3 linked regions of the Danio rerio genome follow. The protein of the gene in region 2 interacts with the protein of the main gene of each other region in a pairwise test. Links are inferred from orthologs where the notes say so. Each region holds a gene or a part of one and is shown on either strand. Other genes may lie near its edges. The genes, in order: ube3a, jade1 and yju2.

Evidence for each region.
Region 1: the proteins of jade1 (region 2) and ube3a interact in a two-hybrid assay, tested with the Homo sapiens proteins (3 studies listed by BioGRID and IntAct). The link is inferred for Danio rerio from reciprocal best matches to the Homo sapiens genes JADE1 and UBE3A.
Region 3: the proteins of jade1 (region 2) and yju2 interact in a two-hybrid assay, tested with the Homo sapiens proteins (2 studies listed by BioGRID and IntAct). The two-hybrid records come from large-scale screens. The link is inferred for Danio rerio from reciprocal best matches to the Homo sapiens genes JADE1 and YJU2.

What each region holds. Positions count from the first base shown.
Region 1 is NC_133181.1:41,330,926-41,337,273, reverse strand, and holds part of ube3a (ubiquitin-protein ligase E3A), read right to left. Parts: coding exon 5,296-6,348; intron 5,213-5,295; coding exon 5,068-5,212; intron 3,627-5,067; coding exon 3,421-3,626; intron 2,425-3,420; coding exon 2,260-2,424; intron 2,148-2,259; coding exon 1,992-2,147; intron 1,902-1,991; coding exon 1,828-1,901; intron 1,651-1,827; coding exon 1,507-1,650; intron 1-1,506. UniProt on the Homo sapiens protein: E3 ubiquitin-protein ligase which accepts ubiquitin from an E2 ubiquitin-conjugating enzyme in the form of a thioester and transfers it to its substrates.
Region 2 is NC_133192.1:28,313,879-28,319,823, reverse strand, and holds the end of jade1 (protein Jade-1), read right to left. Parts: intron 5,194-5,945; coding exon 5,076-5,193; intron 3,751-5,075; coding exon 2,867-3,750; 3' UTR 1,651-2,866; downstream 1-1,650.
Region 3 is NC_133177.1:55,443,547-55,449,894, reverse strand, and holds part of yju2 (splicing factor YJU2), read right to left. Parts: intron 3,100-6,348; coding exon 2,918-3,099; intron 543-2,917; coding exon 398-542; intron 125-397; coding exon 1-124.

The sequences.
Region 1 (6,348 bases), on a different chromosome or scaffold from region 2:
CTTAATAATAATTATATGAAAAAATACATCCCACGTATAGTCAGAGCCAAAAGGTTATTGATTTAAAAAAATGATAGTAAATGTATAAACATGTGTTTTGGATATGGATTTAAAGATTTGCTTTCTGTAACTAAAAATGATGGGTTTTTATTTTCTAGAAATTTTAATTGATCCCATCATAGTCATTCTTCTCATTTATGTGCAATTTTAAAGATTCATCAAGCTAACAGGGCCCTACAATCAGCAGGCCAGTTGTTGCTGGAGGTCCCCAGATCCAGGTTGCAGTGGCATGTCCAAAACTGTGCAATACCCTCCCTATAAAACTTTGTATTATCATGAATGTTGCACTGTCAGTAGTGCAACATGCTGTGTTATTGACATTCTTGTTTTAATGCATAATTTTGTTTTAATGCTGTAAAGCACTTTGAGCAGCCCCCAGCTTGTATTATGGCCCATTTCCACTGAGTGGTACAGTATGGGTCACCGTTATCAGGCTTGCGTTTCCACTGCTAAAAGGGTATCAGTGGTACTCTTTTGGTGTGCATGGTGTACGACAGAAAGTTTCAGTCGATGTTATTCTCGCTCAAGAAAATGTCTACAGTAAAGCTGTACAGGCTGTTCACATATCATATGAGAAGCATTTCTCACAAAACAGACACTTTATACACATAAATACTTAAGTATAAGTGTTCATTACTAACCTTTCAATGAACATGATTTGATTATGACTGCAGATCAATGACAGTGTGAATTAACCTACTGTAACGTCTGCAATTATATAAGGTAAATAAATAAATAAATAAATAAATAAATGCAATATATATGAATACATGCAGCCCCTTACAGTCTCCGATAAGTTACCAGTTACAGAAAAACTACACGCAGCATATGTTTAGTCTTTATTTGGGTTAAAAAAAACAACTTGCAACATATAGCTCACAGTCAGTGCAAATCTCTCATCTGTATCTTTAATTTCACCAGCACATGTAACCTCTTGATAGAAAGTAATTCCGTCATTCTGGGTTCATAATAGTCTAGAAGTGAATATAATACTTAAACACAGCAGTTTGTTCATGTTTTAGGTTGCTGAAACAATCATTTACTCCTTTGTTTTTCCGGCTTCTCCCTTTGTTTTTTTGCGCAACAGCTCTGTAGCTGTTCAACAAGATGACGACAAGGTTTGTTTAAGCTCGGGTCAACCATAGCTTGTTGTTATATGTATATATTGTTACAGTGTAACATCTCAACTGTGTATTTAAAACATGGAGGTTATGGAGGGGAAAAGAAACACTGATCGCTAGTTTACTACTAAAGCATAGTACAGTATACATCTAAATTTGTTTCCACTGTTTGTCAGAAGTAGCAAAATAGCTGACTGTACCATACACCCCTGTTTTGTCCCTTTAATAAGGATAACTAGCACAACAATACTGTACCAAAAAGATGGAGCAAGACACAATGCTAAATGAAATGACAGTGCAGATATTTGGTAATAATTGAGTTTACCTGTCTGAGTCGGGACCATTTTTGGCAATAATCATCTTGAGTTTGCCTAAACCTCCAACTGGAGCTCTATCTGTGCCAGTGGTGAACTGGAGAAACAGTCTCTTCTTCTCCTGCTCAAATGAGTGCACCGTCTCCCAGAAATCCCTGAAGAGAAGCAAAAATATAGTTTTTCCCTTTCAACATAGGATGTAGATTTTACAATGAGTGTTTGACTGATAACATTCTCGCAATTGCCAATGCCTATATGCATTGTGGATGAGGCCTGATGAACAACAACAAACACACAAAGTCACAATTTAAAATAAAGAAACATCCACATACCTAATAATGCGCGAGTCTTTGTTGTATCCTCCATCATATTCGGTGCTTTCTTCAAGTGCTTGGAAGTCAAGGTTCTATAAAAGCACAACACAAAAATCATGCGCTTGTATGTATAGCTTTACCACACCGATGAAAAATGAGTAATGAATGTATATCTAACTCACCCTGCTGCCACATATAAGCAGCTCAATCTCCTCCGGTCGAAACAGATATTTCAGTGGAGACTCATTAGTGACCATGTGGAATCCTCTTCTAAAGGCCTTAAACTGTTTCTCCACACTTTTGTTCAGCATGTACTCTGCATAGAGCGCCACAAAATCCTGCAGACAAGACACTTCATGTTATATGCATACTTGCATGTTGTGTTTTTAAATGTTGAATGAATGAATGAATAAATGAATGAATGATCATTTATTAAAAATGTTCCCTGACCTTTCTGTTCTCATTGGTAACAGGGATTTTATCACCGCTTTCCTTTAAATCGTACATTAATGGGTTTCCAAACAGGTCTGTTTGCGAGATCTGGAAGGTAATCATCATGTCTTCTTCAACATTGCCTTCATACTCCATGAGATCTTTCAGACTCTGAAAAAGAACCTGTAAAAACAGACGAACAGCACCATTATAATCATTTTCTCCAGAGATGCACTGATAGAGATTTCTCTAATCCTGCCCATCAAATAACTGCTATGTGACAAAGGGCAAGCATTAACCTGCCCCAAATTATTTTGATGAGCAGTCACCGTGTGCTAAAGTCTTCACGACGGACTCCGCCAGCAAAGTGCTGATGTGTCTGCCTAAATCTCCCAGCAGACATAATCTCTGATCTAAAACTGCCTGCATTCTGAACAAGTGTAGACAGATAGACGATACACAGCATGACTGAGAACTGGACATGCATAACTACATGTAATAAAGCTGAAATGCTGCTCATAATGCATTATCTCTTTATCAATTTAAAGTATGGACTAGAAATATTGAGGAAAAAACCTGCCTGTAGTTTGAGGGTCCAAAATCATGCATCTATAACTATGTTAACATAACTTAAGAAATATTTGGAAAAACATTACACACTGTCTTGCTGGATTTTGATCTACAGTGTACTACAGCTGCTTTTAGTTTAATTTACCTGAATGTGGAAAATATTAAAACAATAAAAGCTACAAGTTTATAGTATAAATCTGTAAATAAATACACAACACTTTTCAAAAGTATGAGAAACATTTTAAGGGACTATACTTCAGCAAAACTAATAGAAATTAAAAGATAACATGTCCAAACACTGCAAAAAAAAGTCTAACTCTTCCCATAAAAACACTGAGCAGCACAGCTGTTTTTAAATGGTAAAAAATAACAAATATATATTAAACAATAAATCAGTATATTATAATGATTTCTAAAAAATTATGACATTTAAGTACAAAGAACTGATGAATCGTAATTTTTCAAATCAAATTAAAGCAGCCTTGGTGAGCATAAGAGACTTCTTTCAAATTCATCTCAACATCTTGGTGAACCATTTGTGTTTCCATTTTTAAAAACAAACATTAAGCAAGCTAAATATTTTTAAAAACGTATGCAGGCAAAGATTACCGGATGAGAGTCTGCAAGGTCTCGAAACGTTCCTTTCTTTCCCATTAGTTTTCTGTAAATCACCATAGGGAAATGCACATCCAGAATGCAGTTATTGTAGATAGCTAGGCCCAGGACGATGCCTATCAAAGTGAACTGGCCTTCATTCTCAAATGATGAAGGGTTGAACCAGAAAAGTTTTGTGCTTTCATCATAGGTAAACATGCCTGTGGGTAAAAAGTGTAGAACAAGTGAGCAAAACAGACACCATCCACCTTATCCTCACTGATTCATTATTCACATTTACAGAATAATGCTGAAGTTCTGAATGAAATGATAAGCTTACTGGCACATATTATATTACACATTCAATTACAATAAGTATAAATGATCGTCAATGAACTTTGTGTCAGATGACATATTGGTTAGTTATGTTTAGTTCCCAAGGCATGACAGTTTTGTTTGCTATGTAGATAGAAACTATTTAAAAGGTGGGATCGCAATGCCAGCTTAGCATTGTGATGTCTATCGGCCATCAGCGATGGACGATGGCATCGTCTATGTACCCAACCCTAATGTCAGCAACCAAGACTAATTTCATGGCAAGAGCATTTCAATAATAAATATACACTTAAAAATCAACAATTGAATACGTAAGGATTTTTAGCGATAATACATAATAAATTCTAACACTCTTCTTGGAGTCTTCTGGAATCATTAAAAGCAGGACAATCCAGTAAAATGTGTTTGACTGTGAGAGGAATTGTGCACTACAAACTCCTTAAAATCTAAAAGAACATAATAAATGTTTATGTCACCTGGTATTAACATGCATTTAACGCCCCGTTTACACTAATGCGTTTTTGTTTTAAAACGCATAAGTTTTGCTACGGTTACGCCATCCGTCCACACTACGCCGAAGTTCTCGAGCGCCGAAAACGGAGCGTTTTGAAAACACTGGAGAGGCCGTTTTCATTCTGAAACGCTGCTGCTCTATCCCAGTGTGGATGAGGAAAAACAGAGACATTTGAAAACGGAGGCGGGGCTGCTGAGATTCGCTACCTGATTGGGGCTTTTGTGTCATTGCGTATACTTCCCTTATTCGTCAAGTCAATCACATGACTATAACGCTACCGGAAGACAGTACTGTAAACAACAACATGGGCACAGAAATGGGAGCGTTGTTTGCACTATTTTCAGTTTTAGGCATCATTGTGCAGTTATTCATTTGGTATGTTTAGTAACAACTCGACCTCGTCATCTGTCCACAAAAATACCTCTCTTGCTTTCTTTGCCATCGCGTTTAATGTTCAACCGGCGTTTGTTAACCAAATAACCAAATGCCAAGTGAGACGCATGCTTTCTGTTTACACCAGAATGCGCATGCCCTGAGTGTGCGAATGGTCACGTGATATACGATTTTGGTGGCGTAGTGTGGACGGAGATATGTTCGGAGACACAAGGTGATACGCTAGTGTGGACACGGATCGTTTTCGATCTAAAACGCACTAGTGTAAACGGGGCGTAGTTATGCAATCAAAAGTGAGCAGATGTTTTTAGTCAGTTTTAATTATTTGATAAGTGAATCTAAAATGTACATTAGGTTGCATGAAAGAACCCCAAAAGCTCTACTGAAAAACCCAAATAGGAAAAACAAATGATTATTACCTATATCTGGGTTGAAGATCTCCTCTACAACCAGTTGAAAGAATTCTTTGGATACTCCTCCCTCATCTACACCTTGCTCACCCTCAAACTCCACATACAGTTGTTTCTTCAGGTCTGCTGGGTTTTCCATGGCAATCATCTCCAACTACAACCAATTACATGTTTATTTTATATAAATTATTCACTTCTTTGAAACCGCATTCATCATCTGAGCTTTTTGGCACTTACCCTGACAAGAGCATCGTCTATGATGTGGTCTCTGCGCACTTTGAGACGCAGATAAGGGTTTAGTTGCTGTCCTTGCACCAAACTATAGAGGGCAGTAATCCTGCGCTCGCTATACATGCGGATCCGGTTGTCATAGTACAGGCCCAGATTCTTAGTCACAGCGTTAAGTATGAAAGGGCAGGTCATAAAGGAGAACTTGCTCTCTGTCTCCACCTTGAAGAAGGTATAGTCTTTGTCCATTTCCAGCACCTCATTGAGTGGTTCATTGATGAACTCCTCGAATGGGATGAGGGGTTTTCGACAGTCCGAGGCACGGATGCCCATTTCTGTCTCTAGCGGATCCACTCGAGGGCCTTTTTTATTGCGTCTCTCCTCTCCCAGCAGCTCCTGCAGCGTCAGCTCGCTGGACTCAGGGATCGGTTCATCGTCGTCCTCCTCATTGTGATCCGTGTCTAGGTCGCCGCCCAGCACGTTTGCATAGTAGACGATTTTCAAGCACTTGGTGGCTGCCACCACACCATCATCCTCATTGACTAGGTTATCACTGCTGAACTCGTTGCTGATGACCGTGTAGGTAATAAGCTGCTGGAAAGTCTCGACCAAACGTCGGATCTGGTCCACACCGTACTGCGACCACAACCGTGCAAGCTTGGCCAGAGCCGGAAGAGGTAGCTTGCTCATGGCCTTGCAGAACTGTGGCAAGGCGATTTCTAAGTATTCGGGACTGTGGAGGTTACTGTTCTCCATCACAATGATGAAGACGTTCAGGTAATTAGGGTCAGCGGCGTACACATTGTGATAGGTGAGGTCACACTCTACGTTGGGCGACAAGTAGACTAACGCGTTGAGGAAAGCTGCCTCAATCTTCTCATTCGATAATAATCTGTCGTACACTCTTCTTACAGCATCAATGTCTACAGAAACTTCTACAGGACTCAACTTTTGGACGTTGTTCTCCCCATGAGATGACCCGTCTCCACTTGATGCTGAAGCTTCTGGTTCCACCTCCATTGCTGTGGATGAACCAGAAGCCGTTTCTTTCTCATCTTCATC
Region 2 (5,945 bases):
TGGCCAGTTTTGAGCACTTCAGTTTGGAGCAGTCTGTCAATATGGCGGCCATGATTGAATCTAAAAGTCCCCACAGAGGTGGATTTATCCTACTTTCAAGACAGCAATTGTGTGAAGTCAGATGTTTTCTGTGAGTTGCTGTTAATTTCATGTTTAGATGTGCCAGAGTTTACTGTGTGAAACAACAAATGGCTTGTATGAAACATGAAAACGATGATCTCTAAACATTAACTGGTCACACACACACAAAGCATGGATTTATTCGAAATTGCCACTATACCCTCATTCACTTTTCTCTACATCAGTCCACTAATAAACTCTACATGAGTAAATTTGAGCATGAAGCACCAAAAGAGAGGTATATTTGTTTGTGCTTTGCTGGTTAATAAACATGAAATAAAATTGCTGTCAGTGTTTATGTTGTCTAATCCCTGCTGGAAAAAAACAGCACATGCTGGTAAGGTATGTTTTGATGCTAGTGCTGCTCAGGACCATCACTCAGACCAGAAAAACCAGCATTAAAACTGGCAGCAAGACCAACATACTAGCATCAATGCTGGTTCTATGCAAATATGCAGTTTTTTTTCCATCAGGGTTAGTAATGAAACAAAGTATTCTATCATGTACACGTTAATTTTACAATAAATAATCAGTTATTTACAAACTTACACTGATAAGATACTGCGGTTGACGCCATCTTGTCGCACACGCGGGAAATCATTCTCCTCAGTAACGAACCCTCAGAGTACATCTGTTCACTCGACTAGTTATTGCGGTGCATTGTGGGATTGATTGGGGTCACTTCAGAACGTCTACTATATGGTTTCGGACACGAATATAGCTGTTTAGTTTCCTTAAATAATGCAGTATTTAAGGCAGATGTCTTCAACCCTGTTCCTGGAGAAACACCTTCCTGCAGAGTTTAGCTCACAACTGAACAAGTGTATTAATTTAACAGGACCTGAAGCAGCACTTAAAGATTAGACAGGTTTGCAACTGAAACCTGTAGGAAGAAAGAACTCAAGGAATGGGGTTGAGGACCCCTGATTTAAGGGTATAGTAGGTAATTTCGGATATTTTTTATATACATATACCTGGCCAGCAGGTGGCGATGTCACTTCTTCTTAGACACAAAAGTGCAGTCCTAAAATCTGCCATTGTTGTTTTTGGATGTCAACTACATTTATATGCCAATAGACTGAATGTATGTACATTTGAATGTTTTGTAGTTTCCACAAAGATGATGATGGAGTTGTGTTTTAAAATGTGCACTTTGAACAGTTTTTTTTAAGAAAGATTCTCACTACTTTGTTGAATTAGCAAATCAGTGAATCTTTCACTGCAATCTCTGACTAAAGAATCATTGATATGTTGTCAGATCTGAAATGAATGGGAACCATTATCTGGTCTTTAAAGATGCATTAACAGTTTTATCCTAATAAATATTCTGAAATGTTTTTTTTATATTCATTATTGGTCATAGTAAGCAGATCCAAATGCAATGTTAATACTAAAGATTTAGTTTAAAATTGCGTTGTAACAAAAGGCTTCTATATTTAAATGTTGGGGACAATATCAGATTTCTTGTCCTGGTCTGAAAGCAGAGAAAAGTTGAAAAGTTTCCAGTGAGCCACACTTCATCTCCTCAAGTAACCTCAAGAAAATTTATTCACAATCTGCAACAAAACTAAAGTATTGCATAAGAATAAAAGAAAAGAAAGAAGAAAATTACAGCAGCGCTTGATTATATAAACATGTAGAAATTTTTTTTTGTCTGTGAACACAGTTATACCAAGCTCTCTGGCTAATGTTCTAGTGCAACATCTCAACAAAAACAGGCACAAGATAAACTTTTTTTTCTGAAGGAGATCAACTCACATTTTGCATGAGGAGACATTTACAGCGATAAAGAAAAAGATGCAAGAACACATATTCTGCGTACTACTCCAAGGCAACCATGTCAAGAAGATCAGTCCTTTCAACACAACAGTGTTTTCATTAGAGCTATGATAGTGTCTTCTGTTATTGTTTAATATCAAGTGCAAAGTAATGGATACTGGAAGTAAATGATTGTTAAAAGCCTTCCTGAACAGAGCTGCAAATGATATACATCGTATGCGTCATAATTTCATCATACCGAGTGTGAATCTGTCCAGATCTACAGTGTCCATCTATTGCTGAAGAATATGGTTAAATGAACAGTTTTTTATTATTTATTTGTATTTATATGGAAAGGAATTTCTTCAAGACCAAAGAGAGTACATATAAGGCATTAACCTGTTACACACTCAGTTTGGAGAGGGAAAAAAAAGACATAACACTATAAATTAAGTACAAATATAAGCAGATTTTACCTGAGAAGGAAAAGGTGCCACAGCAGAAGTAATGGCACATGTCACATACACACAACACATGATGGCCTTTTAAGTTAGCAGAATACTGAAAAATAAATTAAAAGTCTTTCCTAAATTTTGGAAACTGCTTCGACTGTTGTGGTCAAATATGTTTTTCTTTTTAAGTGCTCAGTTAAGTGCAGTTTTTGTGTGGGACTTAAGACAGCTGGGCTGCACTGGCTTCATTTCACGCTGGTAACACCCTCAGAAGTGCTCATAACTCATCTCGAAACTCCGCCAGTTCATTTTCACCTGATTTATAGTTTCATTCATCGATTATTAGGAAGATATTCGTCTTCGTCAGCCAATCGTTTGGTCTTTGAAACCTCTCCACATTTGTTTTAACATACACACAAAAAAATACTTTCAGCAGAACATTACAGACTAGAAAAATAAATATCGTTCCACCTGTTCACCTTTCGTTGAAGAGCAAATGAAGAGGGAAAATAATAATGATAATATATTTGGACATTTCAAGATGCGAGAACTCCACGTTGGATCACGTCTGAACCGTATCGTCTAGTCATAGGGCTCGGAAGTCTCTGGGTGTGACACCTCTTACCCTGCTCTGATTGGCCGAGATCAGACTCTTCCAGATGGCGTCGATTCTCACTTCCCGTCCGCAGTCGGGTCCTGATTTGAGGAGAGGAGGGGGCGGGGCTTGTGCTAAACGTTTTTAAGGAAGAGTTTTGGTCTGCGGTGTTGTCTGCCTCCTGCCTCTCGGTCTGTCTCCCTGCTGACGTTCTCTCACTGCGTTTGGGGATTCGGAAACTGCCCCAGTTTTTCAGATGCCGCCCGGATGTTCCATTTGGCACTAGTTTTCCCTGATGGCTTGCGTTTGTCTTCCTCGGCGATCCGCTGTACATGTTTGGAGCAGTGGCTACAGAATTAGCGTTAGTGTGAGACAGCAGCAATCTGTCATCCATTGTGTCGAGCTCTGTCTCACTGCTCAGCGTGTCCTCCATAGACTTTGCATGCCTCAGTTTGTCTTTAATAGACACCTGGTCCCATAGCTTGCTCTTTCTCCTCCTGTCCTCCAGAGGACGCTCACTTTCCTCCTCTTTTCTGTGAGACTCACCACTCCTCGTCCTGCCCTCAGAACGTCTAGATGAAGCAGACATCACTGTCTCGCTTCTCACAGAGTCTCCAGAACTGGGAACGCCGTCCATGAGCATCTTTGCAGGCTTGTCTGCTTCAATATGCTTTGAGGATCTGTAAGAGTTGCTTCCCTTCTCGCTGGAGCTCAGTGTGCTGTTCTGCCCACAGTGGCCCTTCAGAGGCTGAGGAGATGCTGGCACAGGTGGCGTCGTACGGAAATAAAACATAGCCTCCTCCAAACGTCTAGTAGAGGATATACCTGACCAGGAGAGAAAACAGAAGAGGTCAAATGGTTTGAATCACAGGTATTAAAACTCAATTCCTGGAGGGCCGCAGCTGTGCAGTGTTTTGTTCCAACTCTAAGCAAACACAAATGATCCAACTAATCAAGGTGTTCAAGACTACTAAAAACTATAAAAGGTCCTATGAAATTAAAATGAAGTTTTTTAGATGTCAGTATCAGTATTATTCTTTCTTAGAATATCTATAAGCTAGCGCACCCCAAAAAAGTGACAAAATTGGCGTTTAGAAGATACAAAACTGATATAAACATGTAAAGCTTGTAATTTGTCACTTCTCCCTAAATGGATCAATAGATTTATTCATGTCACCTCATACTTCAGTTTCTCATTACATCATAACCAGGGATGCTCTGATCAGGATTTTTGCAGCTGAAACAGAGTACAAATTCTTTGTCATGGTGATCGTCAGATTCCAAGTACAGATTCTGATGCCTCAAGCTTTATAATGCAAAATAGTTCATTTTCCCTTTAAGTATGATACTTTATTTATTTTCTTAGGTGAGGCGAGATCATCACTTTTGCTGCATGTAATCCCTTAAAACGACTATTAAAACCATTTAGTTCGGAAATGTCATGGTCAAAGGGAGTTTTACAGAAAATAATAGATAAAACATTTTAAAAATCGGTAAGAAATGATTAACAATGTAATTTGGAAACATTGCAAATGATGGAAGAAGAATTCAACATGTTTCAATGAAGAAAAAGTTTGGAGCGCATAATTGATGCATAAGAAGTTAACCTTACCAATGTAATACTTAGGACATGACTGTGTCTCTCTCAATCTGTTCACGTTCACTCAGTCTCGTTACCACTTTCTCTATGTGTAAACTCAACAACAAACTTTTGCAATCGGTTCATGAGATCGGGCAGATTGCCGAGTACCGATTGAGTCATGAAATGTGAATATCAGCTGACACAGATCTCTAGCCGATCAATTGGAAAATCCCTAATCATAACCTCTCATGTCTGACATGCCCCACCCCCTTAAAGACACTTTTCATTTGATGCACTAGAGCTCAACCACTTCTCACTGGCAGAGCTGAGGAAAAACAAACACTTTTGGCTGTTTGATTTTTTGTTTTTGTTCTTGTTCTTTAAGGGGAGGAGTTAAGCTCTCCCACCCTTTCTTCATGTTTCGGTTTAAGATTACATCAAAGATTGAATAAAAATGCATTTTTCAAAGCACTTTACGGGGTCTTTAAGTAGGTGTGAGTTGGAGGTCTACAGATTTTGAGTTTGACACCCCTGGCTTCAGTACTCTTTAAGTGAGCATCATACTAACCAGTGACGCGGCCCTGCTCCAGCAGCCTGACGTGGTGATGAAAGATCTGCTCCTGCACTCGGCACAAGGTCCGTTTAATCCTCTCCCGTCGGCTGACCATATACGTCAAATTACGCACCTGAACACACATATATGTGGATGAGACATACAATAATCTACAAAGAAGCTTTAAAAAGGCATTATTATATATAATAGTTAATATATCATTCTGTTTGGCATGTGAGAACCAATGAGATGTTCTTGCAAATCAAGCAAGGTAAATAAGTTGATTTTCTAACTCTTTTCTACATACAAACAAGAATCTAAATTAATCACTTGCTTCAAATAGATTCCTTTTGTTATGTATTTTAGAGGTTTCTAATGTGTCAAACATGCACAGACTTACATTCAATGAAAAAACAATGATTTGAGAATGAGAAGAATAAAGGATCTTTTGTGTTTGTAGTGGAAGGGTTTGGATCAACATGATGGCGAGTAAATGTGTGTGCTTCACACTAGTAGTTTAGATCAGTAAATTAAACATTTGTGTATCATACATTTGTACAGGTGTGTGTTTTAGGTTTTGGCCTAACAACAAATTTAATGGTCTAATGGCAAAACACTGATGTGATAATGACTGTGGCACGACAGAATGAAACAGGGAAAGAAATTTAAATGTTACTAATAACACTTACATCATTCACTGACTAACCAACGATACTGAGTAAAAAAAGACCCCAATGATGCACTATACGCTTTGTAGTGTAAACATTTATAAAAGTTATAAAATTAGAGTTTAGAGTTTGAAGTTTTACATATTGAAGTTTTACATATAGAATAGCAAGTGAATAATGAGTGAATTTGGGAATCTTGGGGAATCAGTCAAAATTC
Region 3 (6,348 bases), on a different chromosome or scaffold from region 2:
AAGGTTTAGAGGCAGAATCTGCTGGCTTCTTCCTCACCACCAGAGACCCCAGAGCTCCCTTCACACTCAGACCTCCCACACTCCTATCCCAGCTCTGTTTCTTCGCCACTGCAGACGACAAGCCCTGAGGAAAAATAATAAAAATAATGAGAAACAGGGGACGGCGGGGCTTTCCCCCACGTGATGACACTGCAGAGTGTTTTTATTTGTGCGATTATGAAAAAAAGGTATACCATTAGAGACTGGTTATATTCACACACTGTTGCCACATAACTATCTTTAAACCCCTTATAAAAGTGATTTTTGCATAACAGATGCCCTTTATTGTGCAAAGATGAGCTGAAAATGTAAATAAAAAAGTAGATTTAAATCTCGCTCTTTTTCTCTCTCTCTCCACCTGTGATGAAGTGCTGGTGTCTGTGGTGAGGATGTCTGTGGGTTTATCAGCTATATGCTTCTTGCTTCGCTCCTTTGCGTTTTCTGCCTCTTCTTCAGAGTCTGAGTCCCTCAGTCTTTTGACCAGAGCTCTCTCCAACATCTCTCTGAGAACAGAAAGACAAAAGAGAAGATTAAATCACAGTACACTTGTACAATACATCATCTTGTTGTTTCACAATTTGCTTCAGGGAAAAAATACTGTGGCTGAGAGAGCAATTACAAAAAACACTAGCAAAATAAGAAAAAATCTTCATCAGTTTGACAGAAAATGTGTGGGAAAATTCTCACAACGCAAAAAAAATTAAGAAAATTTTTACAACACATGTAAATATCATGGAACACAATGGAAAAAGTTTTATGGGGACCCGAAAACATGACGAACCGGGCTGGGATTTGATTATTGTGCTGTGACTATTACTAAGCGAAGTTGTAGGTGATCTTTGAAAGGTGAGCTTTTTGTTTGTTTTAACATCATTACACCATTCCCGTGTCTTTTGTATATTATTATCAATGGATTTGTTGTTAAGGGTGAAGCAGTGGCGCAGTAGGTAGTGCTGTCGCCTCACAGCAAGAAAGTCGCTGGTTTGAGCCTCGGCTTAGTTGGCGTTTCTGTGTGGAGTTTGCATGTTCTCTCTGTGTTCGCGTGGGTTTCCTCCTGGTGCTCCGGTTTCCCCCACAGTCCAAACACATGAGGTACAGGTGAATTGGGGAGGCTAAATTGTCCGTAGTGTATGTGTGAGAATGTGTGTGTGGATGTTTCCCAGAGATGGGTTGCAGCTGGAAGGGCATCCGCTGCGTAAAAACTTGCTGGATAAGTTGGCGGTTCATTTCGCTGTGGCGATCCCCGATTAAAAAAGGGACTAAACCGACAAGAAAATGAATGATTTGCTGTTAAGGGATTGTACTTCCAGCAGTGAAATTTAAACCACGCTGAACTGAACTAAACTTCCTCTAAAATCTGGACTGACACAGTTTCAATTTACTAGAACTTCTATGCTAAGCTACTTTGACACAATCTACATTGTAAAAATGCAATAGAAATAAACATCAATTGAATTATTAGCGTAAATAACCATAACCTGAATAACTGGGTTCGTCACATTTTTGGGTCTTCTTGAAACATTTGCGTTGCGTCACAACCACAACGTTTAAACATCAATGTTTTGGGTTAAAATTATGGGTAAGCATAGACAAGTTTTTAAAATCTAGATTAATCTCGAAATTAATTAAATCGGATCATTTGAATTCTGCCGAAGGCATTAAGAATATGTGTGCTACCCAAATAATAAATCATAAATTTATTATGATTAGCGTTATTACATTTCATAACACTCTCACCAGTCCTTACTTCCTATTTATGTCTAATACCCCAGTTTGTCACGGGACAATGAATGAAATGTTCATGAGTTAAAGTTAAACGTTCGAACTGCAGTTAAAGGCAAGCATCCTGCTGATTTGATTCAGAAGGGCACTATTTTGTCAGACGGCTCACCGGTCAGGTATACATGCGTAGAATAGATCCAGCTCCCAACTTTGACAATAGATTAACGGCGATATTTTTTTAATCGCGCGATAAGAGTCTCGCGTTAACGCATAAAGTTAACGCCGATAACGGCCCAACACTAGTTAAAATGCATAGGAATATCTACATTTTGCATTTAAATGATATTATAGATTGTACACAGTTTGGACAAAATGCTGTGATTACATATCAGTACTATTATTATCATTATTGTTTTTAACATGTAAAAACCGGCAAAATACTTGAATGATGAATTACTAATATAACTTCTCTGCGTGATTTTTTTTTAGAATATTTACACACTGAAAAAAGTGTTGCATGCAGAACTGTTGCAAACTATTTATTTGTGTTGAATTTAAACAAACAAATTACATTTAAAAATGTTCAACTTAATTTGTTTGTTTAAATTCACCACAAATAAATTGTTTACAAACACTTGACGTAAAAAATTTAGTAAATCCAAGGAATTATTTTTTAATATTTTTTTTAGTGCACTGTAAAATTACTACAATAATGAATGTACATTCTTGTTTAAAAATAAATGGACCACATATAATTTTCAGACTTTGCAAGATAGTGTTGTCATGCTACTGGAATACAATCGGTACTGAAATTCTAAAAACATAAATTTCCTGCTAACATTTGAGCGCTGTTGAGAACGTTCTTAAACTCAGCTGATTTGCCATTGTGTTCACGTGCTCAACAGAAAACACTGTGATTGGCTGTGAAGGTCATCAATTCACCGAACTCACCGCTGTTTACTGAGTGTAACCACTGATACAGAGACACTGGAGCATTTTAAAGCAGCGAAAATCAGCTGATCTGTTTATAAGCTGACATACGAGGAATCCTCTGATGAAGACTGATCTTCAAGGCTTTACCAAAACGTTTAAACCACAAATATTTAACAATTCAGCATACATAAAGCAAAATTAGAAAAGGTCTCTTGTTGCATACTTGGTCTCTTGCTCGTCTTCCTCCTGCTCTCTCTGCTTCTGTCTCTGCTCCAGCTCTTTATATTGACCCAGCATACCCTCAAAGTCCACTTGCGCCTGCCTCTGGTTCAGCTCCTTCAGCTCCTGCAGGTTCTCCAGTACCTCCATCTCCAGCTTTGAGTCCCGTGTGCGGTTCTCCAGGACCTTTGACAGCATTCAGAGAGAACATCTTTAGCTTAAGGCTGCACAATATATGTAATTCCGCAACAATATAGCAATGTTATTAGGGCTGATCGATTTTGTGAAAAATCCTAATCACGATTATTTTGGTCATAACAGAAATCACGATTATTCAAAACGATTACCGTTAAAGTCAAAATTATTAGCGCTTCTGATAATTTTGTAAAAAATAAATATTTCCCAAATGATGTTTAATAGAGCAAGGAATTTTAACAGTATTTCCTCTTATATTTTTTTCTTCTGGAGAAAGGCTTTTTTATTTTTCTTTTGGCTAGAATAAAAGCAGGTTTTTTCAAGCAAGTCTATAATGTTAGCCCCCTTAAGCAATATATTTTTTGATTGTCTGTCTAATAACACTAATTAAGCCTTTAAATCGCACTCTGAATCTGAATGCTTGTATTTTGAAAAAATATCTAGTCAAATATTATATGCTCTCATTGTGACAAAGATAAAATAGATAAGTTATTAGAAAAGAGTTATTAAAGCTATTATGTTCAGAAATCTTCTTTCCATTAAACAGAAATTGGGGGAAAAGGGTTGCTAATATTCAGGAGGGCTAATAATTCAGACTTCAACTGTATACAAACAGTTATTTTCCACCCTGCAAAGGAAAGAGAAATAAATACAATAGAGTAAAAATATAAAACAAACTGTGATTTAAGCATCTTCACCTTAAGAAACACTTTAGCTACAAAAGTCCTTCAGTCAACAGCAGAGGCATGTTCTCCATTTGTTGTTTGATTAATAATCATAAAAACAGGCGGCAGAAGGATTATAGCGCGCTGTCTCTTTAATAGTTTCTCTATCGCGTCTCTTTTGATTCTCAACTCGTTTGTTTATTACACAAATGATGCTTGATATGAATAATCACTAAACACCGCGTTTTGACACCTATCTGACCATTAAAGCGCTCACGTTAAGATGACTTTAGATGTGTGCGCTGACTGCGCTCTGCTCGTCTCAGTGTGCGAGTGAGACCGAATGCTGACTGCATGCTTCAATTCTGTGTGTGCGCGGCACACAGAATCATGCGGTCTTTCGCGCTTTTAAGATCAACACGTGTACAACTGGAAAGGGGCGGTATATGATGAAATAATCGTTTATCTCGATTAATGATTTTTCATAATCGTTAAAAGGCAAAATCGAAATCGGATTTTAGATTAATTGCACAGCCCTAATGTTTATCTGCAATGACGCTTCAGTTTAAGTTCAGGTTGAGTTTATTCATCACTTAGGCAATTTGAGTGGGATTATAGCTGACCAGGAACCACTGTAAAATTTTAACTTATTAGAGTGAGAGATCTTTATTTGCTCGTTTGCTTTGTTTTAAGGCCTATGACTATAAGATTTACATTTATAACACATGTCGTTTTACCAAAGATATTTTTTATACAACGAAGACCATGTGGTGTTATTTATTTAGATTTGATTATTCAGCTTCTGCACCTGAATACAGTTTGACTAGTGTTGCATTTATGCAAATTAACTGTTCTTCGAAATCCCCCAAATCAATATAAATTCTTTCCCCAAACTGAGCCATTCAAGTCATCTGGTGAAATAATATTCATATCTCAATATACTCATTCATTAATTTTCTTTTCGGCTTAGTCCCTTTATTAAGCTGGGGTGGCCACAGCGGAATGAACCGGCAAATTATCCAGCATGTGTTTTACGCAGCGGATGCCCTTCCAGCTCTGGGAAACATCCATACACACTCATACATTACGGACAAATTAGCCTACCCAATTCAACTGTACCGCATGTATTTGGACTGTGGGGGAAACCGGAGCACCCGGAGGAAACCCACACGAACGCGGGGAGAATATGAAAACTGACCCAGCCAAGGCTCGAACCAGCGACCTTCTTGCTGTGAGGCGACAGCACTACCTACCGCACCACCGCGTTGCCTATCGCAAAGTATATTAATATTAATAAAACTTTGCAATGTCAATTGTTTCCAATATCAAGCAGATTTGTGAGATAATTGTGGATAGAATTGAACTATAGTTTGTTTTTTTTTCTTCTGGCATTTGGCTGGATTATGTCTGTCATGGACAGATAAATGTAATATTACAAGATGGCATCCATTCTCGCGTCTTAGTGATTCACTGAATCATTTATCCAAATGATTCATTTAAATTGGCTGATTCATTTAGGCACCACTGCGAAATGTTTAAAAAATATATTCAATGCTTCACCAATAGATGCAACCTCCATGAACCAATCACAGAGTTCATACACACTTTTACTACTAAAATTCATTTCAATAGGTTACATACAAAACATAATACACTTACATTAATAAAGGCTTCTGCAGGTTCCACAAAGTCAAATTTAAGACTTTAAGACCATTATGAATGAAATTTCAGGCTTATACAGGGCTAAACGCTGAAGATTTGTACTTGCCCTGTTAAATTAGTTATTTCTCAGCCACATATTTTAAATGTGTCAAAACAAGCAAACTCTAGTTGCATACAGAACATACAGAAGAATCGTACCGCTGTAGTTGTTAGTTTGTTTCTGCGCATGAATGAGAGTAAAGGAGAGACGGACTCTGCTATTGTGTTTGAAAATGACCCAATATTATCATTTAAAATATATTCAGGTATAAAATTTCCATGATGTTTGCAAAACTTTATGGGTTTATTTGTTTTTCCAAAACTTTTCCAGGCATTGATTATGCCACTTAAAAATTCCATGACTGTTCCAGGTTTTCCATAACCGTACGAAAAAAAAAAGGAAAAAAAAAACATTAACCTGTGTCTATGCTTTAGAACAATTGCCCTCAAAACTATTTGTATAAATTTAAAAACATTTTAGTGTCACTGAGAGTTGCAGTTAAATGTCTCTGATAATCAGAGCTCTTCTGTTGTATGCATGTTTGGACTAAACTGTTCTCAGGTCTAATACAGTGAATCAGTCTGTAAAGAATTAGCTTCTCATTAGTTAGATTATAGTTATAAACAAGCAAACGATCACACTTTATTTTAATATACAATTAACAAACCATTAAGACTTTTAGCTCAATAAACTACTGATTAGCAGCTTAATAATGAGGGCTTCTGCAGGTTTCACAGAGTTACATTTAGGACTTAAGACATTTTTAAGACCAGTATGAACTAATTTTTAGACCCATAAAGGGTTAAAGGAAAAAGGAATGGCCCAGATGGAAAAGTTTTTTTTTTGCCCTATCAAAAAAATATTATAATTTAA